3 linked regions of the Saccharomyces cerevisiae S288C genome follow. The gene in region 3 interacts genetically with the main gene of each other region. Each region holds a gene or a part of one and is shown on either strand. Other genes may lie near its edges. The genes, in order: YKR104W, CCA1 and XBP1.

Region 1 (11,133 bases), on a different chromosome or scaffold from region 3:
TAAAAAATAGTTGCAACTAAAAAAAGCCTTAGTCTTCCGAAGTGGTCAGAGAGTCTAGAGTAGACAACTTGGGATCCGACACTCACAACAGCATTGATAACTTGGACAGTTGAAAGTAAGGAGTGTTCTGAATATGAGTTCGTTGCATAGCCCGTATAGGTCGATCTAAGTGTGTAGTCTAAACTAATTCCAAACCCACATACAAACGCGGTACTTATCAGTAGAATTTTATATTTCAAGGAATCAAACTGTGCAGACATAATTTCGTTTTCTTTGAGCTTAAAAAAGGTCGATGTCATAGAGTACGTGTCATCGTTTGAGTGACGTTCTCGCTCAATAATCTCACAGGACTGCCTAATTCCACTTTTTTTATTACTTGAGGCACCAACAACACTAGAACTCATCCGATAATTTATTTACTTGATTATTCTTTTTTTTTTTTTTCTCGTTCCAGTCCATAAAACTATTTTACTTTTCTTATTTATGTAAATAGTATTTAAGATTCTACGGTCGCTACATCTGCTAGAAATGGAATTACTTTAATACATTCCATGTTCTCATATATATTTTACTGACACATTTTGTCACTATTTTTTTTTTAACTTTTTTTTGGAAGTACTAAAATTATATGCTCGTAATTATTGAGTATCAAAAAAAAATAAAAAAAATTGCTGTGACGCCCCTTCAATGTGGTGTCTATACACCTGGTGACTTTAACTTTAACTTTGACCTGTCGTCGTACAATCAACTTACTTTCCGAAAATCCACAACGAACCAGTTATACCGAAGACTTTTGTACGACAAGAATACTGTACCGTCGAAACTATCTCTTTTCAAACTAATGAGTGAAGCTTGTGTTTATGTCTGTTGAAACAAGGAAAAAAATGCGGTGCCTGTCGACAGGATATGAGCACAAGTGCAAAATCATCAAAAAATTGAGTACCTAGATCCGGTGGTGTAGGACGAGCAAAGTTCCTTCATAAACAAACCGTAAGGGTTACTGATACACAATTTCCTTTGTGTAAAGAGTATTTGAGCAAATTAGTCGGCGATTGAAAGCAACACCCTTTTTTCTATATATAGTAGGTGAAAGTTAACATGCGAGTAAAAGTAGTGCCACATTTCCTTTGCAGCAGGTGCAAATTAGTACATATTTAACAGATAGCGCCGCACCTCATATGCAGCGCGTACATGATACGAGTCGACAAAATATGCAAAAGATAATAGTGTCATCACACCTTTATGAGAAGCGAATTTTTTTTTTTTTTGGTTTAAATATATATATACATATATATAGATGTATTCTAGTTATACTCATACCTAGAACTGATCAGACCAGATCATACCTGGTATAGAGCTTAATCGATAGAAATTCAAAAATATGGAGGAAACTAAGTACTCTTCGCAGCAGGAGATAGAAGGAGCATGTGGTTCAGACGCTTCATTGAATGCTAGAGGTAGCAATGATTCTCCAATGGGACTTTCCTTGTACCTCTGCCTGGCTTCGTTAACTCTTGTACTATTCATAACTGCACTGGATATTTTGATAGTGGGAACTATTATTGACGTGGTCGCAGAACAGTTCGGAAACTACTCCAAAACAGGTTGGCTCGTTACAGGCTACAGTTTACCAAATGCTATTCTGAGTCTCATTTGGGGAAGATTCGCATCTATCATAGGTTTCCAGCATAGTCTCATTTTAGCAATACTTATTTTTGAAGCCGGATCCCTAATTGCTGCCCTTGCCTCTTCAATGAATATGCTCATTTTCGGTAGAGTTGTTGCTGGTGTTGGGGGAAGCGGACTCCAAACGCTTTGCTTTGTTATTGGTTGTACGATGGTTGGTGAAAGGTCACGTCCATTGGTGATTTCCATCCTAAGTTGTGCATTTGCTGTAGCTGCTATCGTTGGTCCTATAATCGGAGGTGCCTTTACAACCCATGTTACCTGGAGGTGGTGCTTCTATATCAATCTTCCTATCGGTGGTCTTGCCATTATTATGTTTTTACTCACCTATAAGGCCGAGAATAAGGGTATACTTCAACAAATTAAAGATGCTATAGGAACAATCTCGAGCTTTACTTTTAGTAAGTTCAGACACCAAGTTAATTTTAAAAGACTTATGAATGGCATAATCTTCAAGTTTGACTTCTTTGGTTTTGCCCTCTGCTCTGCAGGGCTGGTCCTTTTCCTACTGGGGCTAACCTTTGGTGGTAATAAATATAGTTGGAACTCTGGCCAAGTCATCACATATTTGGTTTTGGGTGTCTTACTTTTTATTTTTTCATTGGTGTACGATTTCTTCCTATTCGATAAATTCAACCCGGAACCTGATAATATATCCTACAGGCCTCTCCTTCTAAGAAGATTGGTAGCAAAACCAGCCATAATAATAGTAAACATGGTAACATTTCTATTATGTACCGGTTACAATGGGCAAATGATATACTCTGTCCAGTTTTTCCAACTTATATTTGCGTCGAGTGCATGGAAAGCCGGTCTTCACTTGATACCAATCGTTATTACCAACGTTATTGCGGCCATTGCAAGTGGTGTGATTACCAAAAAGCTCGGTTTAGTTAAACCACTCTTAATATTTGGAGGCGTTCTTGGGGTAATTGGAGCAGGGCTTATGACACTTATGACAAATACGTCCACGAAGTCAACTCAAATTGGTGTTTTGCTATTACCGGGGTTTTCCCTTGGATTTGCTCTACAAGCATCGCTCATGAGTGCACAGCTTCAAATTACCAAAGATCGTCCAGAAGCTGCTATGGACTTTATTGAAGTAACAGCTTTCAATACATTCATGAAGTCATTAGGTACAACTCTTGGTGGTGTGCTTTCAACCACTGTTTTTTCCGCCTCCTTTCACAATAAAGTATCACGAGCTCATCTAGAGCCTTACGAAGGAAAAACGGTTGATGACATGATTTTGTATCGTCTTCAAAACTACGACGGTTCTCATTCGACTATTGGAAACATTTTAAGCGACTCCATTAAGAACGTATTTTGGATGGATCTAGGGTTTTATGCCTTAGGATTTTTGTTTTGTAGTTTTTCATCCAATAAGAAATTAATCATACCAAAAAAGGACGATACACCAGAAGATAATTTAGAAGACAAGTAGCGCAGTTATTTTCTTATTTTCATTTTATTTTTTTTCGCCTTTTATACAGACTTCAACACAATCAGAATCAAATAGGTGTATCGCAATGGAATGTAATTTCTTAAGTATTCTATATGTACTTAAAACCTATTAATATATGGATCAGTAGTTCATAAAATTCATGCTGGTGCGTTCAAAGATGTGTCTTTAGTAAGAAATCTGGAAAATTCGCGAGCCTGAATATACTCATCGCAGTGCAAGAAAAAGGTTGTCTTCTTTTCTTTTCTTGACAAAAATGCAGCGATAACCTGTAAAGAGAATCTCAAATAGACACATGATAGCAGCTGCGTAATAACAGACCTCAACCGCAATCACATTAAAGGCGTAAGCAAATTTGGCCAGCAAAATTTTCGTTTGTTCCTCGACATAAATTCTCATCAGAAAAACTGTTTACTGTCAGTGCTTTTGTCTTTGCCGCCAATACGGCAGAGAATTACATAGTATACTACGATAAACTTCTATAAATTTAAATATAGATAAAAATAGCACGATATGAACCACGGTACTCTCCAATAGTATACTTGCGATAAAATCAGCAGCTAAGTACTGAATAAGCATTTAAATTATGGTATTTTTTTTTTGCTCCTGCTGAATATTCGGGATTCTTAACGAGAGAGTTTCTTTTGTGATGATATAATATTATTTTCTAGTATAAGTAAAACTATCAAAAAAAAGTAATAATAACGTAGCTTGTTTATATACCATAAAATGTACCAGCAAAATTTTGTTTGGCACAGACAGGTTCAAAGGAGTTATTTCTTAAAGTTCTCAAAAAAAGTAGTGGATTAGGACATATAGCCCTGAAAAGTTAAAAGCGACTTCCTGAATGCCTTCTAATTACACACAAATATATGACGTAAGCAGATCGTATACTTCGTAGCTAGAACTGGAATGAATAAAAATAGGAAATTCTAGTTGTCTTATCTTTTATTATCGAATGAGACTTTAGCCAACTCGAAAAGGTTTTCGAACTCGCCACTCTGCCTACAGAGGCGGTAAAAAATGGTATTTCGATCAGATATTAGAGTGTATGGATGATCATACTCCTTGACTCTGCCCATTTCCATCACCAGAATTTTGTCATAATCTATTACTGACCTTAATCGATGAGCAATAGTCAAAATTGTTGTATTTTTCATTGTTTCTCTTATAGTTTTCTGAATTTTAGCATCAGAAATATAATCTATTGAGGCGGTTGCTTCGTCAATTAGCATTATATTACGTGCACCAAGCATGGATCGTGCCAAGCACAAAAGTTGTCTTTGCCCTTGAGATAAGTTTGAACCACCTGATTTCACAACAGTATTCAAATCAATGAATCTATTTCTTAGTTTATGACTAGAAAAATTAGGCTGCTCTTGCTCAAAAATCAAGCACAATTCATCGCATTCTTCAATTAATCCCACTTTGGATAGTACGCCATAAATTTGTACATCAGAATACCGATCGAAAGGATCTAAATTAGATCGAACAGTTCCATCAAATAAAGTAGGATCCTGTGGGATGCAGCTTATAGAATTTCTTAAACGCTCTAAAGGGATATGTTTTATGTCTTTGTTATCAATAGTAATCGTACCGTTTTCCCAGTCTGAAAGCCGGTAAATAGCCGCTATAATAGAAGATTTCCCAGCCCCTGTTCTACCAACAATACCAACTTTTGTTCCTGCTTTTACCTTGAATGATACATTATCTAGTGCCTTAGAGGAATGAGGAGAATAGCGCAATGATAAGTTTTTTAGTTCAACATCTCCTGTTTGAGGCCAATTAGCTGGAGGTGATATGTAGCCGTTTGATTCGGAAGGTATATCTGTATATTCTTTTATTCTCTCTACTGAACTCATCAAAAGTTCAACGCTTGAAAATACTTTTATGATCCATTGAGCAGTTTCAGTAAAGGAAAAGGCATTCGATAACAGTATCCCCGCTAGCCCCGCATCCAACTATGAGGCCTTCATTATGATCATTACAGAAGAACTAAAAAGAACAAGTGTCCCAATTATATCCACTCTATATGTGATCCACTCGGTGGCCATATTGAGATAAAAAAATGGAGCATTACTTCTGTCAATTGCAACCAAAGATTGAGTGATAAACCTACGCTCATCTGCTAATGCTCTAATTGTAGTTACTCCTTTGATGGCTTCAGCGAATAACTGGTGTATTGGAGAGATATTGATGTTATCTATTCTCTTCAACTCTCTAGATGCACGAAGATATAACGTACATACGGTATAATAAAGAGCGCATAAAGGAATAGCAAATAACAGAAATTGAGGAGTAACATATCCAATTAAAAGTATAATCCACAGACAAACAACGACGCTATAAGAGAGTCCTTCGAAATTAGGGATCAATTGTTGATCAATAATATCCATATCCTTGCTAAATCTGTTCATTATTCTTCCAGTCGGCGTGACATTATGAAAACGTAACTTGGCATATAAGATACTGGATAGAAGCTTCGCAAATATTTTCTTGGTGACGTTGGTACCTGAAATTATTGCTATCCAAACTTTACCAGAAGTTAAAAATGAAGAAACAAGACCTATGATAATATAAGTCAGTAAGAAATAGATGTTAGAGTGACCCTCAACTATTCTATAAAGCCAGGTAGACTTACTCCCTGAAGATCCAGTGTCCAGCCAGTATCTGAGCCAAAAGCCCTGAGACAGTGTGATTCCATGAATAAGGATGGAGGACGAGGTGAAAACAAAAACAACTCCCAGTCCCCCGAAATAGTCTGCTAACCATTTGTAAGCTGAAAATTTAACTGATCCTTCCATTTTTGTTTCCTCAAAATTTTCAACTTCAGCACACACTTCGTCTTGCGAGTTCCCTCCCTCGGGATCTCCATTCTTAGTTTTCTTTGATGTTGTTGATCTTTTCAAGTCAATTTGATTGTGAGTTGTATTTTTTGAATCATTGTTTATGCTTTCCCTCAAAAACTCATTAGATTTAATGAGGTCCGATGGTTTACCCTGTGATTTCACCTCGCCACGATCTAAAATCACAAGCCAGTCAGCCCGTTTCGTAACTAAAGAAATATTATGACTCGTAATGATGCAGGTCCTTCCTTTCATCATGGGGCCGCATAAACACTCTTCATATATATAAAGTGCAGTTTCAGGATCTACTGCACTCAAGCAATCATCAAGGATCAAATACCTGGAAGAGGAGTAAATTGCTCTGGCTAAAGCAATCCTTTGCTGCTGTCCGCCAGATAAGGAAAATCCTCCATCACCCACGTCTGTTCTTATGCCAGCTGTCATTGCTTTGATATCTTTGTCAAGACAACAGGATTTCATTACATCATCAAATTTTTGTTTGTTGAAGATTTCTCCAAAAACAACGTTATCTTTAATTGTTCCACTAATCAACCACGGAGTTTGAGAACAATATGCCATTGAATTCGTCATTCCGTCTTTACCAATCTCTAAGTCGTCGCGGGATTCAACTGTAGGTACGTATATTTTTCCAGAAAGAAGGTTCAATTCTCCCAATAGTCCAAGTAATAGCGAAGACTTTCCTGACCCAGTCGGACCTATAATTGCGTTGAGACTATTCAGCTTAAAATCAATAGAAATGTTCTTAAGTTTAAAACTTGTTTCAGCAGCTTCCCATTCCATGCTTGCATCTTCAAAGCCAAATTTAGTATTGCTTTGTTCCAAAATCTCATATTTTCTTGTTTCTGATTCATTAAGATAATCCTGGATTCTTTCAAGAGAAATAAAAGACTGTATCAAAAGGCTGACAGTCGAAGCAATTTGGTCCATGGGTGTCCTCAATATTGCAAATAAAGAAAGAGCTGTAAATGCTATTGTAGGAGTAAGTGTCTGATTTTGGAATTTAATAAACACTGAGAATGTTATTGCAGAGACCAAAGTGGGCCCAAAGAACCAAATGAGATGGTTCAAAAAGAAAATTGTTGCCTTCTTTTTAAGGAGTCTTATTTCCCCATCTCTTACGTTTATAATCTTTTGATAAAACAGATTTTCCCATGCCAGTAGCTTTATTACACGTATTGAGTTCAGAGCCTCACTAATCCCAGAGGTACGCTTGTCAGTTAGGATTAATTGATCGGCCTGATAGTTCCCGTAAAAAGTTGCACACCAAAAATTCAAAGGAATCATGGCAAGAAGAGCAAAGGTACCAGCAAAGGCGGACCATCCCAGTAGGGAATATAGTATCATTAGGGCCGTAACTGTCATGAAAACTGCTTCACATGCCAGATAAAAAGTGTTCATAGCTTCAGAAACCTTGAAAGCGTCAATTGACATAACATTGTTCACAGAGTTGTCTTTCCTACTAGACTTTTTTCTAGGTTCCGCTTCAGAAGAGTCAGGATTTTCTTCAAAGGATGTTGACGCATTTTTTTGAAGTGACGTTGTTGAGTCTTTTAGAATTGTTCTTCTTAAGGTTTTGGAATAGATATTGGATATCAAAACTGTTCTTAGTTGCATAGTACCCTTTTCACCTAAAAACAATCCTTGACCTCTACAAGTCGTGGCAATGATTTTACTGACGAGCATAGATGAGACGTATAAAGACACCAAGTTCCATGATTTTGACTTTGGGTCATTAACGTATGATAGTATTCTTGGCATCAACAATGAGGGTACAAAGTTCAAAAAACTAGATACAAAAGCCAGAAATAATTGGGAGATGAAAACAGCCTTAAAATAACAAATAATGTTTGGAAGGAGCCTTCCTTTTTTAGAAGACATTTCAAAGTTCGCCAAAATTGCTATAGACTTATTATTAATATCCAAATCCCAAATATCAGCGTTTCCAAGGCAGTGTTTGTATGCTTTCCAAATAAGCCGATCAATCCTAGAAAAAGTAAGAAGGCCAAAGACGGTAGGAGCCGGTGGCAACTTTTTGTTCTCATTTTCAACCAAAAATGAGTACCTAGTTCCTTCTATACTTGACGTTGATAATAATAATAAAAGCGCTAAATCAATGAAAGTCTCGGAAATGATATATTTGACCATAATTTTATCTTTTATCTTTCCAATGAAGACGGAACGAAGAGGTAAAATCGAAAGAGTAAACAGGGATGCATATGAGTAAAACGAAACAGCCCATAAATCACGCTTACATGCTAAAACCCACCGAAATGACTGGCTTGCTGAAATTAAACGAAGTGTAATAACAACAAGCAGTAAAATCCAGAGAAACATTTGAACCAGAAAACCTTGGTGAAAGAACTTTTTGTTATCCATTGGCATACTAGATAAAATATACAGGTGGATAGTAAGCTGCAAAACAATGAAGGCACCCTCTATAAATTTTTTGAATTTGTCGAAAGTAGATCTATTATTAACATTACAAAAGCTACGGCTTTCCCATGCAGATTTTAGTCTTAAAACTGAGAACCTTGCATATTCGTGGTTTCCATTACCTTGTTCTTCAAATTCTGGCGCTTCATTTGTATGATTTTTCCCCCTTAGATAAAAGGCTCGAAAGACTTTGCAAAACGCGTATATCATACCAGTCAACAATATAAATAGAGGAAATTTAAACTCGATATATTCTCGCCTAGCACATTCCGAAAGATCATCACGTTCCCAATAGGGGCATGTACCATTTTTTATCATTCCTAAAAATTAATACTGTGAATCGTGAAAAGTATGTTTAATAACTAAAAAACAAATATTCCAGAACGCCAGACTTACGCTATGGTTATCCTATATTTTACTGATCTTTCCATAACAAGTGGTAATCCAATTTTTTAGGCATTTTTTATAGATAGTAACATGATTTTTTTATGACAGAGTAATGCACCCAATAACTTCTAAAACAGTATGATATCCCATTTTCGTTTAATAATCGATCATGCGTTGTACTGTCATGTCCGACTTTATTTGCTCAAAAGGACTTTGTTATATTTTTGGTTGCATATTGACAGTAAATTGGACACCCTGAAATTGCAGTTTTGAGAAAGTTACAACATGGCGGAAAAATTAACTATCGTGATTTTCATCAAAAAAGCGAGTACTCTCCAAAGACCTTTGACCGTCAGTTCTAGTAAAGATGAAACCCAGGAAGATATGTTAGAAAGTGATGTTCCGTGACCTTTTTTATTCTTTCTATTAAACTAGGACTCTAAGATATAATTTTTTTTTATTTTATATACCATTCGATGACAGTCTCATAAATCTTGAATATTTTAAACGTGTAGTTAAAATGTACGCAACTGTAGTAGGAGAGTAAAGAAATAAAATTGTTGAAGAGTGATTATGGTATTTTTCTAAATCGTGGGACAAATGTTATATTTTGTGAAATATGGCACTTTCAAAGAGTTGAAAATTTTGATCAAAAAAAAAATGATGCTATAAGCGAAATAAATCTAATATCTTGGTTAAATCTAGACACCATTATCCAATAAAAACAACAATATATTTGCACAATATTCCGAATAAAGCTTTTGATTCCAAAACTGTAATCATCAATTAAGTATAAAGATCATAAAAACCACCGGGTTCCGCTGAAGAAAAAAAGTAAAGCGTTTAAAAATAGCCCATTTTATCAAGAAGTACGTTGGTAATCCCAGAACCTATTTACAAAACGCAGTGCATCAATCTTGGTTTTATCTTCCTCCAATATATACTTGTAGGACGGAGGAAATTTTCGATTCACATTGATTCAGGTAAGCTCAATCTATCTTTCTAAGCTCACATGTATTTGTTGCTCATAACAAAACTGGCTTTTCAAAAAGCACTACACTGAAGGGTTTTAGAACTCTTGGCTTTTAGTTCGTCATTTCGTAGGGCCCCAGAATTTTCCACCCAAATATCGATTACAAAAACCCTCTGAAGAAAAGCGATAAAACAATTATTTTTTCCATTACCGGTTCGCGACGTTGCTTATGTACTTTCTATTAAGCTTAAATCGCGTTTATTCTTATTCATTTCTTTACGGTTGAAAATACACTCTGTTATACCTTATTAACACTTTTTTATTTTCCATTCTTACTCAAATAGAAAGATAAATATTCTAGGTTAGTATTTGTGAAAGGTTCTTATAGTGAATATTTTCTTAGTATGAGCGTCTATTATATTATCTGGAAATTCAGAAGTACTGAATACGACCTTAGTGTTAGCCAACTCAATAAAGACACTGCTATAGTGGTGCTCAATTAAAATTACCGTGAATTTCGGCTCTTGCCAGAAGTTCTTTATGGACTTTCCGAGTATCGCCATGCTAGATTTAATCGTTAACAAGTTTCATGATTTCAAATAAATGAGGCTTTGCTGGTGACAATTCAGAAAATCGGTACCAAAGAATGCCTATCCTACTTTGTACACTTTCATTAAGTTATGCGATCAATTTTCAAATAAAAAATTGTAAATAGCTTTTCGCGTAAATTAAAGCTTACAAGCTGAGAACTAAGACGACGTAGAGCTCTCTACCTAGGTGTGTTTGTACTCATAATTTAGGTTTAGGATATGTGTAACATCCATGCACAACGAATACATTAATTTCAAAAACATAACATGAATCAATGTGATGCAGCCAGTGTGTGATTAGATACTCACATATATTATTACAATATCAATTTCTTCCAGTAGCAATTTCATGTTGGGAAAACACACTAACAATTTTAAAGAACACATTGGTTCATTATAGTACAGCCCACTCTTGAAAACATGGATCTCAGCGTGGTAACATCGCTCAATGGTTTTCAGCACATTTGCCAGCTGTTTCGTATTATTCATTGTAAATGTTCCTTTCCTTGTGCTTTGTAGAAGGCGAATAGGGCCCCTATAATTTCAATCAACTGTTATTTCAATCGTACGCCCATTTCGTTGGATAGAAGTGAACAGAATAATTACTTACTAGAATTCGGATGGATAAAGAGTCTGTTCTGTTTGTTAGGACTCATGCTGGGCACGATTAGCTTCTATAACCCCGTATGCTTCTTATATTGGAAAAACACTACCTTGCTGGGTTGAAAGATAAAT
Region 2 (12,046 bases), on a different chromosome or scaffold from region 3:
GTAATACGCAACTCAGACAGTTTTAAGTGGATTTTTAGGGTCGCAATTAAAAACACTCAAAAATTAACCGGAGGTTGAGCAAGGGAAAGCAACCGTAACAGAAATCCTTTATTTCCTCCTGGAAGTGAAATAAAAACGCAGTTAACTTTAAAAAGGAAAGTTAGTTGATAATTATGTCTGGAACTTTTCATGGCGATGGGCATGCTCCCATGTCGCCCTTTGAAGATACATTTCAATTTGAAGATAATAGCAGTAATGAAGATACACATATTGCACCTACCCATTTTGATGATGGTGCAACAAGCAACAAATACAGCCGGCCACAGGTCAGCTTCAATGATGAAACACCCAAAAATAAACGTGAAGATGCAGAAGAATTCACATTTAACGATGACACAGAATATGACAATCATTCCTTTCAGCCAACACCGAAACTTAATAATGGATCTGGGACGTTTGATGATGTGGAATTAGACAATGATAGTGGTGAACCGCACACTAACTACGATGGTATGAAAAGATTCCGGATGGGTACAAAAAGGAATAAAAAAGGAAACCCAATAATGGGAAGATCTAAGACCTTGAAATGGGCTAGGAAGAACATTCCAAACCCATTTGAAGACTTTACGAAGGATGATATTGACCCTGGTGCCATAAATCGTGCGCAAGAACTAAGGACTGTGTATTACAATATGCCCTTACCAAAAGATATGATAGATGAAGAAGGCAACCCCATTATGCAGTATCCTCGTAATAAAATCAGAACTACCAAATATACCCCGTTAACATTCTTACCAAAAAACATTCTATTTCAGTTTCATAATTTCGCCAACGTTTATTTCTTAGTTTTAATAATTTTAGGTGCATTTCAAATTTTTGGTGTCACGAACCCTGGTTTAAGTGCGGTTCCGTTAGTTGTCATTGTTATAATCACTGCGATCAAGGATGCTATTGAAGACTCAAGAAGAACCGTCCTAGATTTAGAGGTGAATAATACCAAGACACATATTTTAGAAGGTGTTGAGAACGAAAATGTCTCAACCGATAATATTTCATTGTGGAGAAGGTTTAAGAAAGCAAACTCTAGACTCCTTTTCAAGTTTATACAATATTGTAAAGAACATTTAACTGAAGAGGGCAAAAAGAAGAGAATGCAGAGAAAGCGTCATGAACTAAGAGTACAAAAAACTGTTGGAACGAGTGGACCCAGATCCTCTCTAGACTCCATTGACAGTTACAGAGTATCTGCAGATTATGGCCGTCCTTCATTGGATTATGATAATTTGGAACAAGGGGCCGGTGAAGCCAATATAGTTGATAGATCCCTACCACCCAGAACTGATTGTAAATTTGCCAAGAATTATTGGAAAGGTGTCAAGGTTGGTGATATTGTTCGTATCCATAACAATGATGAAATCCCTGCTGACATTATCTTACTTTCAACGTCGGATACAGATGGTGCCTGCTACGTAGAAACTAAAAATTTGGATGGTGAAACAAACTTAAAGGTACGCCAATCCTTGAAGTGTACCAATACTATAAGAACGTCAAAAGATATTGCTAGAACAAAATTCTGGATCGAAAGTGAAGGGCCCCACTCAAATTTGTACACTTATCAAGGTAATATGAAATGGAGAAATCTTGCAGATGGCGAGATACGAAATGAGCCAATTACTATTAATAACGTTCTGCTTCGTGGTTGCACTCTTAGAAATACTAAGTGGGCAATGGGTGTTGTAATGTTTACCGGTGGTGACACAAAAATCATGTTAAACTCTGGCATTACACCCACCAAGAAGTCCAGGATTTCAAGAGAACTAAACTTCTCTGTGGTGATAAATTTCGTGCTACTTTTCATCTTATGTTTTGTTTCTGGTATTGCAAATGGTGTATATTACGACAAAAAAGGCAGATCACGGTTTTCCTATGAATTTGGAACAATTGCTGGGTCAGCGGCGACAAACGGTTTCGTCTCATTTTGGGTTGCTGTTATTCTTTACCAATCTTTAGTCCCAATCTCTTTGTACATTTCTGTGGAGATCATCAAAACTGCACAAGCGGCCTTCATTTACGGAGACGTTTTACTCTACAATGCCAAATTGGATTATCCTTGTACACCAAAATCCTGGAATATTTCTGACGATTTAGGTCAAGTGGAATATATATTTTCTGATAAAACAGGTACATTAACTCAAAATGTAATGGAGTTTAAAAAATGTACTATCAATGGTGTTTCATATGGAAGAGCTTACACCGAAGCGTTAGCGGGATTAAGAAAAAGACAAGGTATCGACGTCGAAACCGAAGGTAGGCGTGAGAAGGCCGAAATTGCCAAGGATAGGGATACAATGATCGATGAACTGAGAGCTTTATCAGGAAATTCACAATTTTATCCCGAAGAAGTTACCTTTGTATCAAAGGAGTTCGTTCGCGATTTGAAAGGGGCTAGTGGTGAAGTACAACAAAGATGCTGTGAGCACTTTATGTTAGCATTAGCTTTATGTCACTCCGTCCTTGTAGAAGCAAACCCGGACAATCCAAAAAAACTGGATTTAAAAGCTCAATCTCCAGACGAAGCAGCGTTAGTAGCCACAGCTAGAGATGTAGGATTCAGTTTTGTTGGAAAAACCAAAAAAGGGTTGATAATTGAAATGCAAGGTATTCAAAAAGAATTTGAGATTCTAAATATTTTGGAGTTTAATTCATCGAGAAAAAGAATGTCCTGTATTGTCAAAATTCCGGGTCTGAACCCAGGGGACGAGCCTAGAGCACTTTTAATTTGTAAAGGTGCAGATTCCATTATATACTCAAGATTAAGTCGCCAGAGTGGTAGCAATAGTGAAGCTATTTTGGAAAAAACTGCTTTGCATTTAGAGCAGTACGCTACTGAAGGTTTAAGAACGTTATGCATAGCTCAAAGGGAGTTAAGTTGGTCTGAATACGAAAAATGGAACGAAAAGTACGATATTGCTGCTGCATCATTAGCAAACAGAGAGGATGAATTAGAAGTTGTTGCAGATTCCATTGAACGCGAATTGATATTATTGGGCGGTACAGCTATCGAAGATCGTTTACAAGATGGTGTTCCGGATTGTATAGAGTTGCTTGCAGAGGCAGGAATTAAATTATGGGTTCTTACGGGTGATAAAGTTGAAACAGCTATAAACATTGGATTTTCTTGCAACCTTTTGAATAATGAAATGGAATTGTTAGTTATTAAAACAACTGGTGATGACGTGAAAGAATTCGGATCAGAACCAAGTGAAATTGTGGATGCTTTACTCTCCAAATACTTGAAGGAGTATTTCAACTTAACCGGTTCAGAAGAAGAGATTTTTGAAGCTAAAAAGGATCACGAATTTCCGAAGGGTAATTACGCCATCGTTATCGATGGTGATGCTTTGAAATTGGCGCTATATGGTGAAGATATAAGAAGAAAGTTTCTTTTACTCTGCAAGAATTGTAGAGCTGTCTTATGCTGTAGAGTATCTCCATCTCAAAAAGCAGCCGTTGTTAAGTTAGTCAAGGATTCTCTAGATGTCATGACACTAGCCATCGGCGATGGTTCCAACGACGTCGCCATGATTCAATCTGCGGATGTTGGTATTGGTATTGCCGGTGAAGAAGGTCGACAAGCTGTTATGTGCTCAGACTACGCCATTGGACAATTCAGATATTTGGCTAGATTGGTCCTCGTTCACGGTAGGTGGTCTTATAAGAGACTGGCAGAAATGATTCCTGAGTTTTTTTACAAAAACATGATTTTTGCTTTGGCATTGTTCTGGTATGGTATCTATAATGATTTTGATGGGTCTTACCTGTATGAATACACATACATGATGTTCTATAATTTGGCATTTACATCCCTACCAGTCATCTTCTTAGGTATTCTGGACCAGGACGTGAATGACACAATATCATTAGTGGTCCCTCAGTTATACCGTGTTGGAATTTTAAGGAAAGAATGGAACCAAAGAAAGTTCTTATGGTATATGTTGGACGGATTATATCAGTCTATTATCTGTTTTTTTTTCCCTTACTTGGTTTATCACAAAAATATGATAGTTACGAGCAATGGGTTAGGATTGGATCATCGTTATTTTGTCGGTGTTTATGTGACCACTATTGCTGTAATTTCGTGTAACACATATGTTTTATTACACCAATATAGATGGGATTGGTTTAGTGGATTATTCATTGCACTGTCTTGCCTCGTAGTTTTTGCATGGACGGGAATATGGTCTTCTGCGATAGCTAGTAGAGAATTTTTCAAAGCTGCAGCGCGTATCTATGGAGCACCTTCATTTTGGGCTGTTTTCTTTGTTGCCGTGCTGTTCTGCTTACTGCCCCGTTTCACATATGACAGTTTTCAAAAATTTTTCTACCCAACTGATGTGGAAATAGTAAGAGAGATGTGGCAACATGGCCATTTCGATCATTATCCTCCTGGTTACGATCCAACAGATCCCAACAGACCCAAGGTCACAAAAGCTGGGCAACACGGAGAGAAGATTATAGAAGGCATAGCACTTTCCGACAACTTAGGAGGATCGAACTATTCAAGGGATAGTGTTGTCACAGAGGAGATTCCAATGACTTTCATGCACGGTGAAGATGGAAGTCCTAGCGGATATCAGAAGCAAGAAACCTGGATGACTTCACCCAAGGAAACACAAGATCTTCTTCAATCGCCCCAATTTCAGCAGGCCCAAACGTTCGGAAGAGGCCCATCAACCAACGTCAGGTCATCCTTGGACCGCACAAGAGAACAGATGATCGCCACTAACCAACTAGATAACCGCTACTCTGTGGAAAGAGCGAGAACATCTCTAGATCTACCAGGCGTAACTAACGCAGCCTCCTTAATCGGAACACAACAGAACAATTAATAATGATATCCGAACCATAGCTGATGGAACTCCGCTTTTCACTGTATATATAATATTACATAATATTACTGGATAAGCCTTAGAAGCCTTAGAAGCCTTAGAAGCCTTGGAATTCATGCATACTACAGCGTTAACTCTTTCTTTTAGCAAGTTTTAGTAGCGGACGTGTGGGTTTCTTTGTTCTATAATTAACACTCCCGGTTAACCCGGATCGCTATTATTCAAGGACGCACAATGGTGGGCTAATTTTTTCTTCCGATGGAAAACTGACGCCAGCACTTTCCAGCGCTGGGAACTCTCCACTAACTGGCAAAAAAATTGATTAAGGTCATGATCAAAGGAATTTTTGAAATGTTGTAAAGTAGAGTTAAGAATTAATCAAGCCGTGATACGTATGTTTTTGACTAGGTGAGAGACTATATTTATCAAAAATAGTTTTTTATACTAACAGAAAGTTTATTATATCATAGAAATCCTAGGCCTATTGTTATTATTTGCGTGAAAAAAGGTTCATGCCTAGTTATTCAGGATATTAATCAGGCATAGTCATAGTTTTGTAATACACGTCTTTCACTCCTATTTCCGGTTAACATTCGCTAATATCCATCAAATTATTGACTTTTTTTTCAGTGGATTTGTTGTTAATAAAGGAAACAATCAGATCAGCCATTTAGGGAAGTCTTTTAAGAAAGCTCAGAAGGAGATCTAAGACAAGAAGCAAGGCAGTCTTGATTTATCGCTCAAAACCAATAGCACATGCCGAAGAATAGTCACCACCATCGTTCCAGTTCGGTTAATTCCACAAAGAGTCGTTCTACGGAATCTACGAATAAATGGAAAATTCCGCACTATTATCGCAGATCCGCTAGCGGCAGCACACAAGCTTCGCCGGACAGGAACTCCTCAACAGGCTCATGTAGCACTCCAGTATTACCTACTATGAATGTTATGTCTAGCCCGAAAAAAGTTTTGCTAGAGGATCCCAGAGACAACCATACTAAGGCGAAGAAGAGTAGTAGAAAGAAATCAGGTGAAATGGTCTTCGTCAATTATACTGTACAGGACACGGCTAACGAAAATGATACTGACTTGCAAACCCAGCCGGTTTCTGTGCCAGCACCAAAGGCGAAATTAAAGAAGAAATCCTCCAAAAGGAGAATGCTGAAGATATTTGGATCGTCAAAGAACGAACACATAGAGGACATCGTTGAAGAGCAACCAATGGTGCTTCAAATGGATTCAGAATCTAAACCCCTTTCGGGAACCCCTATCTCAGAAAGCGGAATCGACGCCTCGTCACTAACAACCAAAAGATCTTATAACTCGTTCTTAAAACACAATAGGCTAAACGGTAAAACTCCGTTCTCTGGAAACTTGTCCTTTCCATCATTAAACATGATGGGTAACACTACTGATCTGCCTATTGACAATAACGATTTTTGTTCCGAGAAAGAAGTCGTTCCGAAATCAACTCATGATCCTTCACTAGCAAAACCGCCATCAAGGTTCACTGAAAGCGAAACAAATTCTACTCCCAACTTATCAAGTATACCTCTCATGAACACAAAAAATACAAGATTGAAGTACAATAAAGTGGCGCCTCAGAGTTCAGACCGACAAAAGTCACAGGAAAGTGGGCTATATCATTCTACCGAATCATTCAACTTCAAAGATCAAAACTACAGTAACAATAAATCCTCTTTAAGTCTGAACTCCGATTTAAGTACACCCCACTTTGCAAAGCATTCACCTGATTCACCAAGAACTTCAAGATCTTTCAACTGCGGAGACTCACAAAGTAAAGTTAAATTACCGGAAGAAAATGACGCTTCTATTGCATTTAGTAAGATGTTTACTAGAAAACGAGCCAACACTGGCGGGTCCACGTGTTCGCTAGCCTCACCCACTATTGCACAAACTATTCAGCAATCAAATATAAAAGTTAATAAATTGCCAACTCAGCGAACCACTTCAGTTGGCTCATTATCATCCATGTCAAATCGTTATTCACCAATAAGAGTTGCATCGCCAGGAAGAGCAAGATCCGCAACTCGTGGGTCTTCCCTTTATAGATTATCCAGAGACCTTAATTCTTTACCAAGCGTCACTGATCTACCAGAAATGGATAGTACAACCCCAGTTAACGAAATATTCTTGGATGGCCAACCACAGCATAAAAGTGGCAGTGTCAAAGGAGGGCATAGGAAGAAACAAGAATCTATCTCTGATGCTCAAAGAATTCAACATTCTAATTCGTACATTACAACACCTTCATCTTCTCTGGTGACTCCTCCTTACTACATGACAGGTTACACATTACCAAGTTCTGCATCTGCTTCTTCAACTCCAAATGTGCTTGAAACACACAATATGAACTTTGTTCCAAGTACCAGTACTGTTACAAGTTATCGCCCATCTAGCAATTTTTCCTCATTTGACAAAGAATACAGTAACGAAAACGACGCTAGTGGGGAATTCTCTGCTTTCAATACTCCAATGGAGAATATACCGGCACTAAAAGGTATACCTAGATCCACGTTAGAAGAAAATGAAGAAGAGGATGTCCTAGTACAAGATATTCCGAATACGGCACACTTCCAAAGAAGGGATATTATGGGGATGGATACTCACAGAAAGGATGACAGTTTAGATTTTAACTCTTTGATGCCACACGGTAGTACAACTAGTAGCAGCATCGTAGATTCTGTTATGACGAACTCAATATCCACTACAACAAGCAACGCGACCGGAAACTACTTTCAAGATCAAGATAAGTATACATTGGTAAATACGGGATTGGGATTGAGTGATGCAAACCTCGATCATTTTATTAGATCTCAATGGAAACACGCTTCTCGATCAGAATCCAATAATAATACCGGAAATCGCGTTTCTTACAGTGGCTCAACACCAAACAATGTTGATACAACAAAGACTAATTTGCAAGTGTATACCGAGTTCGATTTTGAAAACCCAGAGTCGTTTTTCCATGAGCAATCGAAGCTACTAGGTGAGATGGGCCACAGCAATAACAACAGCAACAGCGCCATCAACATGAATGAACCCAAGTCTGCGGATACATACATTGGAAATATATCTCCGGATACTTCAGCAACTGTTTCATTAGGCGACCTGATGGGCTCAAACGTTTCAAACAACAGTGAAAGAAATTTTTACGATGGTCATACTTTCGTTCCACAGTATCAGGCGAACTCATCTGTGGAAAACTCAAATAATCAAAATGCAGCACCAATTGCAAATAACGACATTGATAATAATTTACAGTCTTTTTATTTTGATAATAGCAACTAAAAAAGGAATGAAAAAAAAAAAAAAAAGTTCAAAAATAGTAACAGATATCTTTCGAAAAAGTTAAAAACTGGTAAAAAATTTTGAATAGAGTATATAAAAACTAATAAATATGTTTAGTTATCATACACCATAGAATAACTACTAGAGATATTATTTCATTTTCGTTTTCATTTTTTTTATTTTTTTCTTTTCAATAAGGTAACAGAAAGTTATTTATGCATTCTTGTTCTACATGTCTTATGTATACTAATAAGCTACTACAGGTATTTTGGTAGTATGGCTTTTAAATGAGTTATTAATTCTTGATCAGTCCCTGTAGGATTATCAAACTGCCACCTAATCGCTTCGTTATTAATTTTACCCAGCCATGGACCTGGCTTCATTTGAAGTAGTTTTGCCATTTGTTTTCCGTCCACTATTGGTTTTAGTTCATGACAATTATTCAAATTATTGTCAAATATGTAAGAATAAAATTCATTGTAATTTTGGAAAAGTAATTCAATTTTTTTAGTTTCAAGCTTGGGAATCTTTAAAAATGCATCTGATAGAGATGCAAAATGTGCTGTTTCCCATTCGCCATTAAAGTTCCGTAGAAATATACCGATTTCGGATTTTTTTAGCTGGGAACGATCTGCAAACTTAGCAAGTATTTCCTCATATGAACATATTGAATCTACGGTCTTGGCAATAACTGCTGCATCATTTTTACTCAGCTTCAATCCTTCCTTCACAATGCTTTCTGTCACCGAAACCAGGTTGTTAATTTTCTTCTTTGGGTTCCCGATTATTTGTAAATTAGCCATGGGGGACAGGATCGCACTCAATATAAAATTTTGCTGAAATCCTGGCGAACGACCAATTTTTTCCCTTAAGATAGGAAGCTTCTCTAAAAACATTGGATATAATTCAATAAAACTTTTCAAGTGTGAGTTTAGTATGTTATCATTGTATACATGATTAATTTTGTCCATATCTTGACAATTCTCTTCGTTGAATTTTACGACGGAGCTATCATTATGCCAAAAAAAGATAACATTTTCAAGATGAGCCCTTTGAATCAGCTGCAAAGCCAATAAAGGGGTTGGTCCTACTAATATTTTCTCCATCTCCACACCAACTCGCTCTCTAGAAATTTTTGAATTGAATGCAACATTAATCTGAGGATCGCCCATTTCAGCCATCACTTCCGGATCTATGGTAAAGTTGAATCTAGAAGCAAAACGGATCAACCTCAAAACCCTCAAGGGATCATCCAAAAATGTTTGTTTTGCAGGAAGCGGAGTACGGAGAACGCCATCTTTTAGATCTTGCAGACCTCTCTTGGTGAAATCTTCCACTTCACCTTTATGAATGTTATAGAAAAGAGCGTTCAATGTAGCATCCCTTCTTAAAGCGTCTTCCTCGGGTGTGCCAAAGCACACTTTAGGTATCCTGGAAAGTTCAGTATACTTTTCAGATCTTAAATTGACAAAATCCACTTCAACGCCAAAGAGCTTAGTAGTGGCAGTTTCCAGATGCTTGGATTTCTCGGGATTCTTGTCAATCTTGTGGATATTATGAGGCTTGGCTCCATATTTGGCGTAATGTTGTTGCAAATACTCGTTCAAACCAGTAGCAAATTGCTCACCTGACATCACATTGATGGCAATATCCAAGTCGTGAGAACCTTGTCCCAGAAGCTTGTCACGCACCCATCCGCCCGTGATCCGAAGAGTCAATGGCTCAGGCTTATTGTGGTACTTTTGATTGTACAAGTCTGTATAATCGTTCAGCAAGTTACAGATGTTCTGTTCCACTTTGGTTAAGGTGATTTTGGGTGCATTTAGAACAAAATTAGAATTCGTCATCGTTTTCTGAGCAGCACTATTCATCAGTAGAGATATAGTAGACCGTAGCATACACAAAAAAAGCCCTTATAACCCACGGATACGAATTAATCTCGAGGGAAGCGTTGCGATGTATTATGTAGTTTCCTTTAGTACATTGTTAATATGGTAGATTTTTGCGATTCATTTTTCAACTTTTCAACCCTAACGAATGTTTTTTAGGGCTGAGTAACGACAAGAACACAACCCTAAAAATCAGATGACCTAAGGGTTTGGTGAATCGAGAAAGTATGCCCTATTTCCCCCGCCCATACACCCCATAAGCCTTAACCGCAGCCCTCCTCTCCCCTAAACGTTTCTTTTTCTTTTTCCATTTTTTTTTTTTTTTTAGTTTTACTTTCTTTTTATTCGGAAAAATCTTTTCTATATTTTTCAAGGGTAACCTCATCGCCATGCAATTAATCACATAGACTCCTTAAGTAACAATGGCAAGGCGATAATTTTAAGAGAATTGCAGACGCTGTACATAGATCGTTATCAGCAAAACATATATTCGCATCGAAGGCGTTGCTTGTCCCTGAAGTAGCTACTTGCGGTTTTCATCAAGCGGCCAATTTAATCATTCTATCAGCATTATTTTAAAATAGGGGGACTTAACCTTTCTATTAGTACCACTTATTTTATAGATCTGCTGGAGAAAAATAAACAGATAAAAAAAAGGGAAAAAAAGAATAAGACTGTCTTGGTGAGGATATTCAGTTGCGTGAAATCATGACGAAACTAATCGCTCCTTCAGAAATCGTGGGCGGAGTGCCCGTCTTCAAACCCACATACGAGCAATTCGAAGATTTCTATGCATACTGCAAGGCCATAAACAAATATGGCATGAAAAGTGGTGTTGTGAAAGTAATCCCACCTAAAGAATGGAAAGACAAATTAGATCTGCCTTATTCTGCGGAAACGCTCCAAAAGATCAAGATTAAATCACCTATTCAGCAGCATATTTCTGGTAATAAAGGTCTTTTTATGGTGCAGAACGTGGAGAAAAACAAGACCTATAACATTATACAGTGGAAAGATCTTTCTAAGGACTATGTGCCTCCGGAGGATCCTAAAGCAAGACGTAATTCTAGGAAAGGCTCCGTTTCCAAATCCACGAAGTTGAAACTGAAAAATTTTGAATCGTCTTTTAATATTGATGATTTTGAACAGTTCAGGACGGAGTATACAATAGATTTATCTGACTTCCAAAATACGGAGAGATTAAAGTTCTTGGAAGAGTATTATTGGAAAACGCTAAATTTTACTACGCCTATGTACGGCGCAGATACACCAGGATCAATCTTTCCTGAAGGGCTGAACGTTTGGAATGTTGCCAAACTACCGAACATCTTGGACCATATGGAAACAAAGGTTCCTGGGGTGAATGACTCCTATCTATACGCTGGTCTATGGAAGGCTTCTTTTTCTTGGCACTTGGAAGATCAGGACCTGTATTCCATAAATTATATTCATTTCGGTGCCCCAAAACAGTGGTATTCGATACCGCAAGAGGATAGGTTCAAATTCTACAAATTCATGCAGGAGCAATTTCCCGAAGAAGCCAAAAATTGTCCTGAATTTTTAAGACATAAAATGTTTTTGGCTTCGCCCAAACTGCTGCAGGAAAATGGCATACGATGCAATGAAATTGTCCACCATGAAGGCGAATTCATGATCACTTATCCCTATGGTTACCATGCAGGGTTCAATTATGGATATAACTTGGCAGAATCCGTCAACTTTGCTTTGGAGGAGTGGCTACCGATTGGGAAGAAAGCTGGAAAATGCCACTGCATTTCAGACTCAGTGGAAATAGATGTTAAGAAACTCGCTAAATCTTGGAGGGACAATAATAAAGAGTCGAAAGGAACGCCACCCCTCAATCAATTACCCAATCCTGCCATGCCCTTACTTCACAGGCCAACTTTAAAAGAAATGGAAAGCAGCTCGCTTAGATCTACAAGCCCAGATGTGGGT
Region 3 (7,879 bases):
ATAGCTTGAGCAAACGTTGGCAAAACAGCTGCTCTGAATAATGGTCAGCAATTAAATTTGCTTTTTTTGCGTACGGCTGTTCAGATATACTATTGTTGGAATAATAATCAATCGTCTATTGACTAATGTTTTCATACGTATTATTACTGCCTTCATGAAATAAGTAACCCTAAATTTTTATCACAACATTCTAATGTTCTTCATTTTCTGTAAAGAAAGAGCAGGACTGTGGCAGAATAGTACCATTTTCATCAGCAAATGTGAGGCTATGCCATTATTTGCGAATGCTATGAACCTACTGCGTTGCATTCTCCAAGGTTCCCGCTGGGTGGGTCGCCACTAACTCTTCCGTGTGGCCGTCTATTGCTGATGCATTCAAACCATAGTCACCTGCGATAGGGTTAGTTGTGTAAGAGGTAAAACAGTGACCAGGTGTTAATTCTTCCCAGTTCATCAACAAGCTTGCTGAACCATTGCTCATTATAGTTGTTATACTGCAGGAATATTTCATCTCGATATCTACTTCTTCCAGAAAAGAATTTTTTAAACAATAATAGACCTCGAATCGCTTCAATTTTTTGAACTTTTCCACCTTTAGCATCTAACTTGGTTCTTTAATTACGATAATTCAGGATATGCGCAAGCCACCTACAGATTATAGAAGCAGTCGAGTACGAATCACTGTGACCGTCATCCTAGATAAATAGTATAGCTTGATGAAGAGTACTGAACCAACAAGTACGAGCTTCTATGGCCAAGTTGGTAAGGCGCCACACTAGTAATGTGGAGATCATCGGTTCAAATCCGATTGGAAGCAATTTTTTTCTTCGGCACGTCATACACCTTGTAATGAGTGTACTAATTCTCTCTTCAAAAAGATCATTGTATGTTTTATGTTTTGTCTGGAAAAACATATAGTACGGATATTTTTGAAAAACTTTGAAATAATATGTAAATTATGTAAAAAAATTAAAGAACCATTATAAAAGAATATTACCAAAAATGTAACAGATGACATTTTTATTGTTTTGAGTTTGTTTTAAATTTGAAATTGTTCAGTGAATTGTTCGCCCTTGGCGAAAAAGAGGTGTCCATATTGGTATTTGTATTATGAGCTGGTCGTTGGTTTTGTTGCTTATAAACTTCGCTAGCATATTTCAAAAAATGATAGTGATCATCACCATAAGGTTGAGGGAAAGTGGGAGGAGCAGGCGCGATTGGTGAAGAGGGGACGTTGTAGTGTCTTGGAGACTGGTACTGAGAAGGAACTGGGTGAATGTGGTCGTAAGTATAGTTTAGCTGCCGCTGTGGCGACGAGAGCTGGTTTGGTGGGGGTAAAGAGTATCTTTGCTGTGGTATATAGATATTTCCCGGATATGAATACCGGTGACCGTGGGTGTTGTAGAAGGATGCTAGGTTTGACAAAATTTGCACCGTTGGATCTCTTGGCCCTATTGGAGAAGAAGTTTGAGAGGTGTATGTGGACGACTTTTGCCTTTTGCTGTTTTTTTTAATGAAGTTCTTGTCATTTGAGGAAAGGCCCAAGTTTTCTACAAATGAGTCGAATGAGGGCAAGGCGTCCTCAATAACAAGTTTCTGCGCTTTGGAATGGGACATGGAAGTAGATCTTTGTCTTGGCCTGGGTCTGGGCTTCTGCCTAGGTCTTGCCACTGCAGTAGACGTAAAATTGGTACTTGTATTAGCAGCAGCAGTAGCAGCAGTAGCAGCACCTGCACCAGTGGTAGAACTAGCAAATGTAACGTTTTGATGAGCCAAATACCACGATTCGCAATCTTTGGGGAAATCTGGACCAAAAATAGGCACCAGAAAGTATCTGATCGGAAAACAAAACCGCAGGCATAGCAACCTTGAGATTTCCATCGGCAACCAAGTACCCTGAATTTTGATGTAACCACCTCTTATTCTTTTCGTAAAATTTGCCGGATTTAAGTTGGGCAAGTCTATTTGGTCAGGACCAAGTTCATTGATCAGGAAGTCTTTGTAAGACTGGCAAATAAGGTCCCGCAGTTCGGGCTTGATGTTGTTCCAATGAAAATCGATGTAATTGTTTGCCTGCGTTGAAGAAGTAGATGAAGAAGACGCATTGGCGTCCAAGAAGGTAGACCCTGTGGATGTCCGTCTCTTTGGCGGCGAAGAGGTGGAGGACGACAACAGTACGCTTGAAGATTCCTCAGAAGTGAACGAACTGTGATTGTAAAAGCAAAAAGATAGAATTTTCTCGAATTCAGCCTTGCAAAAGAACTGCTGTTGGCTAGTGGAAACGCTGTCACCTCTGGGCAAGTTTATAAGCCCCTTCATAACATCCTGATACAGCCGCCAGATGCCCGTCATGAACACATAGCCGGAGTCATGCGACCATATTACGCAGTTGTTAGGGTTGATGAGCTTGTCATTGATCAGATTATGGTCCATTTTGGTCAACTTGAACTGCTGATTCTTTGTCAGCGAGGAGGTGGCATTTTCACGCGATGCTGTTGACAGAGCCTTCTTTTCTTGCTTGGTGGGTGATGCTGAGACTGGTGTTTTGTTAGACCGGGAAGGTAGTATGATCTTACCCATCAGAATATTTTTATCGTGCAGATGCAAGGCGGAGTGAGGAGTGGCGGAGCTAGCGAGCTGCGATAGCAACGTTTGTTCGTGGACTAGGCTCTGAATTGTTTGTAGGTTGGGAAACTGGTACTCGAAGCAGTTCAGAACGTTCTGCGCCGCCGCCTCTTCCCCGTTCCCTGCGTCCCGAGCACTGATAATGAAGTTTGGATGTGTGAACTGCGCAGCAATGGAGGATTTATAGTTAACCTTTCTAATATTGAGTCCGGCGCTGAAACTGGCCGGCGGCGAGTCCCTATCCAGTACGCTGACGAGGTAGAGACGCTGATAGTCGTCCAGGGGGTTGTCCGTTAAGTGTACCGTGTCACTGTTAATGCTAAAAGCGGGATATTTCATGTTGGAGAAGGTGTCTATGATAAGGTATTTTGAGCTTGCCGTTGTGTGGGGAGAAGAACTGGATGCGTACCGAGAACGAGCAAGTTAAAACACTAGTACACGAATAATAGATATATATATGTATGTATATATATGTTGAAGTGTGTACACACGTACACGCACAAGCTACAGACGCCACGCGGCCCGGCATTCATATATGTACATACATTTATGCACATATATATATATATATATATGTATATGTAAATGTATATATACAGCTTGTGATTTCGCGCGCCGAATGGGCTGAAAAGCACAGTATAGTGGAGAAGAAGAGAGAGGAGAAGGGGAGAGGGGCAATAGCAATGGATGTGGTAGAATACAGGGAAGGCCAAGCTGTTGTTCAATGGATGCGGTTCGAGGCCCAGCGCAAGGGGGGCGCTTCGAAGCATAGAACATTATCCGCGGAAACGGGTATTAGGGGTGAGGGTGAATAAGGAAAGTCAGGGAAATCGGGCCAGAGTAACACCCATTCATAGCACTCGTACAAGGTGCTTTTAACTTGCCTGCATGTGTGGAGTCACAAATTAGGGGACTCAGGCACAGAAGCAAGGGTCCTTTTTTGGTTCCCTGTTTCCTCCTGCGCATTTCGTATTTTTTCTCATCTCTTGGCTCTGGATCCGTTATCTGTTCTGTTACACAAGAAATCGTACATTTACAATATAGTGATAATCGTGGACTAGAGCAAGATTTCAAATAAGTAACAGCAGCAAAATGGCAAGACAAAAGATGTTTTATAACAAATTACTCGGCATGCTCAGCGTAGGATTCGGGTTTGCTTGGGCGCTCGAGAACATTACTATATACGAATTTGACTTTGGCAAGGGCATTCTCGATCAAAGCTACGGCGGTGTATTTTCAAACAACGGCCCTTCGCAAGTGCAGCTGCGGGATGCAGTCTTGATGAATGGGACAGTGGTATACGATTCAAACGGCGCTTGGGACAGTAGTGCGCTGGAGGAATGGCTCCAGGGACAGAAAAAAGTTTCCATCGAAAAAATATTTGAAAATATTGGGCCCAGCGCCGTGTATCCGTCTATTTCGCCTGGGGTCGTGATTGCGTCACCATCGCAAACGCATCCAGACTACTTCTACCAATGGATAAGGGACAGCGCGTTGACGATAAACAGTATTGTCTCTCATTCTGCGGGCCCGGCAATAGAGACGTTATTGCAGTACCTGAACGTTTCATTCCACTTGCAAAGAAGCAACAACACATTGGGCGCTGGCATTGGTTACACTAACGATACAGTGGCTTTGGGAGACCCTAAGTGGAACGTCGACAACACGGCTTTCACGGAAGATTGGGGTCGTCCTCAAAACGATGGGCCTGCTCTTCGAAGCATTGCCATCTTAAAAATCATCGACTACATCAAGCAATCTGGCACTGATCTGGGGGCCAAGTACCCATTCCAGTCCACCGCAGATATCTTTGATGATATTGTACGTTGGGACCTGAGGTTCATTATTGACCACTGGAATTCTTCCGGATTTGATCTATGGGAGGAAGTCAATGGCATGCATTTCTTTACTTTACTGGTACAACTGTCTGCAGTGGACAAGTCGCTGTCGTATTTTAACGCCTCAGAACGGTCGTCTCCCTTTGTTGAAGAATTGCGTCAGACACGCCGGGACATCTCCAAGTTTTTAGTGGACCCTGCGAATGGGTTTATCAACGGCAAGTACAATTATATTGTTGGGACACCCATGATTGCCGACACATTGAGATCCGGACTGGACATATCCACTTTATTAGCTGCGAACACCGTCCACGATGCGCCATCTGCTTCCCATCTTCCGTTCGATATCAATGACCCTGCCGTCCTGAACACGTTGCACCATTTGATGTTGCACATGCGTTCGATATACCCCATCAACGATAGCTCCAAAAATGCAACGGGTATTGCCCTGGGCCGGTATCCTGAGGACGTATATGATGGATATGGCTTTGGCGAGGGAAATCCCTGGGTCCTGGCCACGTGTACCGCTTCAACAACGCTTTATCAGCTCATTTACAGACACATCTCTGAGCAGCATGACTTGGTTGTCCCAATGAACAACGATTGTTCGAACGCATTTTGGAGCGAGCTGGTATTCTCCAACCTCACGACTTTGGGAAATGACGAAGGCTATTTGATTTTGGAGTTCAATACACCTGCCTTCAATCAAACCATACAAAAAATCTTCCAACTAGCTGATTCATTCTTGGTCAAGCTGAAAGCTCACGTGGGAACAGACGGGGAACTAAGTGAACAATTTAACAAATACACAGGGTTTATGCAGGGTGCCCAACACCTTACCTGGTCCTATACTTCATTCTGGGATGCCTATCAAATAAGACAAGAAGTTTTACAGAGTTTGTAGACAAAAAAAAAAATAAAAGGAAAGCGAGAAGTATACACAAGTGTATTTCCTAGATATTTACATCAAATATATATATATACTTATTTACAAAACTCTGATATTATAAATTGATTAGATACTATGTCGGAACGTCCAGCCCAACCACGTTTGCAGTTCTTTTCACTTTCTCATCCTGTGTCAACTTGTTGCCAGGATTGTATCTGTCGACCAGCTCCTCGTATTCTCTTTGGTTGTCCAAGAACTTGATGATGTCCAAAGCGTGTTCGAATATCTCGTCAACGTTTTGTCCCTGGGCCACCTTTTTCTCCCACTTTATATCGTTTTGTAATATGGAACGTAATGACTTAGAGTCGGCTATAAACAAATTCAAAGATCTGTCGCTTACCGGATCTAGTTTTTTCCATTTCTCTAACTGTCTGTTGATGTTCTCATGCGAGTCTCTCTGATTTTGTTTCTTAGCATATTCCAACTTTGTTATCATTGCCTTTCGTAGATTGCCCCAATTGACTATCTTGCTTGGCCTTTCATATTTCAGAATGGCTCTTATGAGTCCTCTATATGTGCGTAATGTTCTTGGTCTATCCATTTCCCTGGCACTCTCTCTTTCTCTCTCTTTTCAGCTTTTTGTTATCCACTTATCGCTGCAAATGAAACTCTAGTGCAATTTGAGATATTCACTTTTTGCAAAGGCGAAGAGAAGGGGGTGGTTAAATCTACAATTTCATACATAAAACAGAGAAAATGATTATAAATTATAGGAAAGTAGGTAAGCCATGGCAGAGAAATCAATATTTAATGAGCCTGATGTGGATTTCCATTTGAAATTAAATCAACAATTATTTCATATTCCTTATGAACTACTGTCCAAACGTATCAAGCATACTCAAGCGGTAATTAATAAGGAAACCAAATCACTACATGAACACACGGCCGCATTAAATCAAATATTTGAACATAATGACGTTGAGCACGACGAGTTGGCACTAGCAAAAATAACTGAAATGATTAGGAAAGTTGACCATATAGAAAGATTTTTAAATACGCAAATCAAGTCCTACTGTCAGATTTTGAACAGAATTAAAAAAAGGCTGGAGTTTTTCCACGAACTGAAGGACATCAAGTCACAAAATTCAGGAACATCGCACAATGGAAATAATGAGGGTACCAGGACTAAATTGATACAGTGGTATCAGAGTTATACAAACATTTTAATTGGTGATTATCTGACGAGGAATAACCCGATTAAATACAACTCGGAGACAAAGGATCATTGGAACTCTGGCGTAGTGTTTTTGAAACAGAGCCAACTGGATGATCTCATTGATTATGATGTCCTCTTGGAGGCTAATAGAATTTCGACTTCGTTACTACATGAGCGTAATCTCTTACCCCTAATTTCATGGATAAACGAGAACAAAAAGACACTGACCAAAAAGTCCTCTATATTAGAGTTTCAAGCAAGATTGCAAGAATATATTGAACTACTAAAGGTGGATAACTATACCGACGCTATAGTATGTTTTCAAAGATTCCTTTTACCATTCGTTAAGAGCAACTTCACCGATTTAAAATTAGCATCTGGACTTCTGATTTTTATCAAATACTGTAATGATCAAAAGCCAACTTCTTCTACCAGCTCTGGATTCGATACTGAAGAGATTAAGTCTCAAAGTTTACCAATGAAGAAAGATCGAATATTTCAACATTTTTTTCACAAATCTTTACCTAGAATTACCTCCAAACCTGCGGTGAATACAACAGACTATGACAAGAGTTCCTTAATAAATTTACAAAGTGGAGATTTCGAAAGATATCTGAATTTATTAGATGATCAAAGATGGTCGGTATTAAATGATTTATTCTTGAGCGACTTTTATTCCATGTATGGCATATCACAAAATGACCCTTTATTGATATACCTGTCACTAGGTATATCGTCTTTGAAGACAAGAGATTGCCTGCACCCTTCTGACGATGAAAATGGAAATCAAGAGACGGAAACTGCCACAACAGCAGAGAAAGAAGTTGAAGATTTACAACTCTTTACGCTACATTCACTAAAAAGGAAAAATTGTCCCGTTTGCAGTGAGACTTTCAAACCAATAACACAGGCATTACCATTTGCTCATCACATTCAGTCTCAATTATTTGAAAATCCAATACTATTACCAAATGGAAATGTTTACGACAGTAAAAAATTGAAGAAATTGGCCAAAACATTGAAAAAGCAAAACTTAATTTCTTTAAATCCAGGTCAAATTATGGATCCAGTTGACATGAAAATATTTTGCGAATCAGATTCTATCAAAATGTACCCAACCTGAAATAGTTTCAAGCTATATGCATTTTTTTATATAAAGATTTGTCCAACTTTCACAACTATTTTACAGATACTTACGCTATATAAGAATTAGGGAAAATGAAAGTTCTTTCATCAACATGGCGACATTCTTCCTTCTGTACTTAGTCTGAATCAGAATCTGTGTCTTTTTTGCTTTTACGGTTATGTTTT

What was found.
Region 1: mutations in XBP1 (region 3) and YKR104W together harm fitness more than expected from each alone (negative genetic interaction), as found in Saccharomyces cerevisiae (one large-scale study listed by BioGRID).
Region 2: mutations in XBP1 (region 3) and CCA1 together harm fitness less than expected from each alone (positive genetic interaction), as found in Saccharomyces cerevisiae (one large-scale study listed by BioGRID).

What each region holds. Positions count from the first base shown.
Region 1 is NC_001143.9:650,713-661,845, reverse strand, and holds YKR104W (uncharacterized protein), read right to left. Parts: upstream 5,011-11,133; coding exon 4,090-5,010; downstream 1-4,089. Other genes in the region: GEX2 (glutathione exchanger), read right to left, coding at 1-404; VBA5 (basic amino acid transporter), read left to right, coding at 1,382-3,130; putative multidrug transporter NFT1, read right to left, coding at 5,110-8,766.
Region 2 is NC_001137.3:512,571-524,616, forward strand, and holds CCA1 (tRNA adenylyltransferase), read right to left. Parts: upstream 10,100-12,046; coding exon 8,459-10,099; downstream 1-8,458. Other genes in the region: aminophospholipid-translocating P4-type ATPase DNF1, read left to right, coding at 174-4,889; BCK2 (Bck2p), read left to right, coding at 5,646-8,201; RPH1 (Rph1p), read left to right, coding at 10,799-12,046. UniProt on the Saccharomyces cerevisiae protein: Nucleotidyltransferase that catalyzes the addition and repair of the essential 3'-terminal CCA sequence in tRNAs, which is necessary for the attachment of amino acids to the 3' terminus of tRNA molecules, using CTP and ATP as substrates. tRNA 3'-terminal CCA addition is required both for tRNA processing and repair.
Region 3 is NC_001141.2:174,287-182,165, forward strand, and holds XBP1 (Xbp1p), read right to left. Parts: upstream 2,965-7,879; coding exon 1,021-2,964; downstream 1-1,020. Other genes in the region: YIL102C (uncharacterized protein), read right to left, coding at 296-601; SGA1 (glucan 1,4-alpha-glucosidase), read left to right, coding at 3,718-5,367; FMC1 (Fmc1p), read right to left, coding at 5,486-5,953; glucose-induced degradation complex subunit FYV10, read left to right, coding at 6,141-7,691; BMT5 (25S rRNA (uracil2634-N3)-methyltransferase), read right to left, coding at 7,831-7,879. UniProt on the Saccharomyces cerevisiae protein: Transcriptional repressor which binds to the consensus sequence 5'-GCCTCGA[G/A]G[C/A]-3'. Represses CLN1 transcription.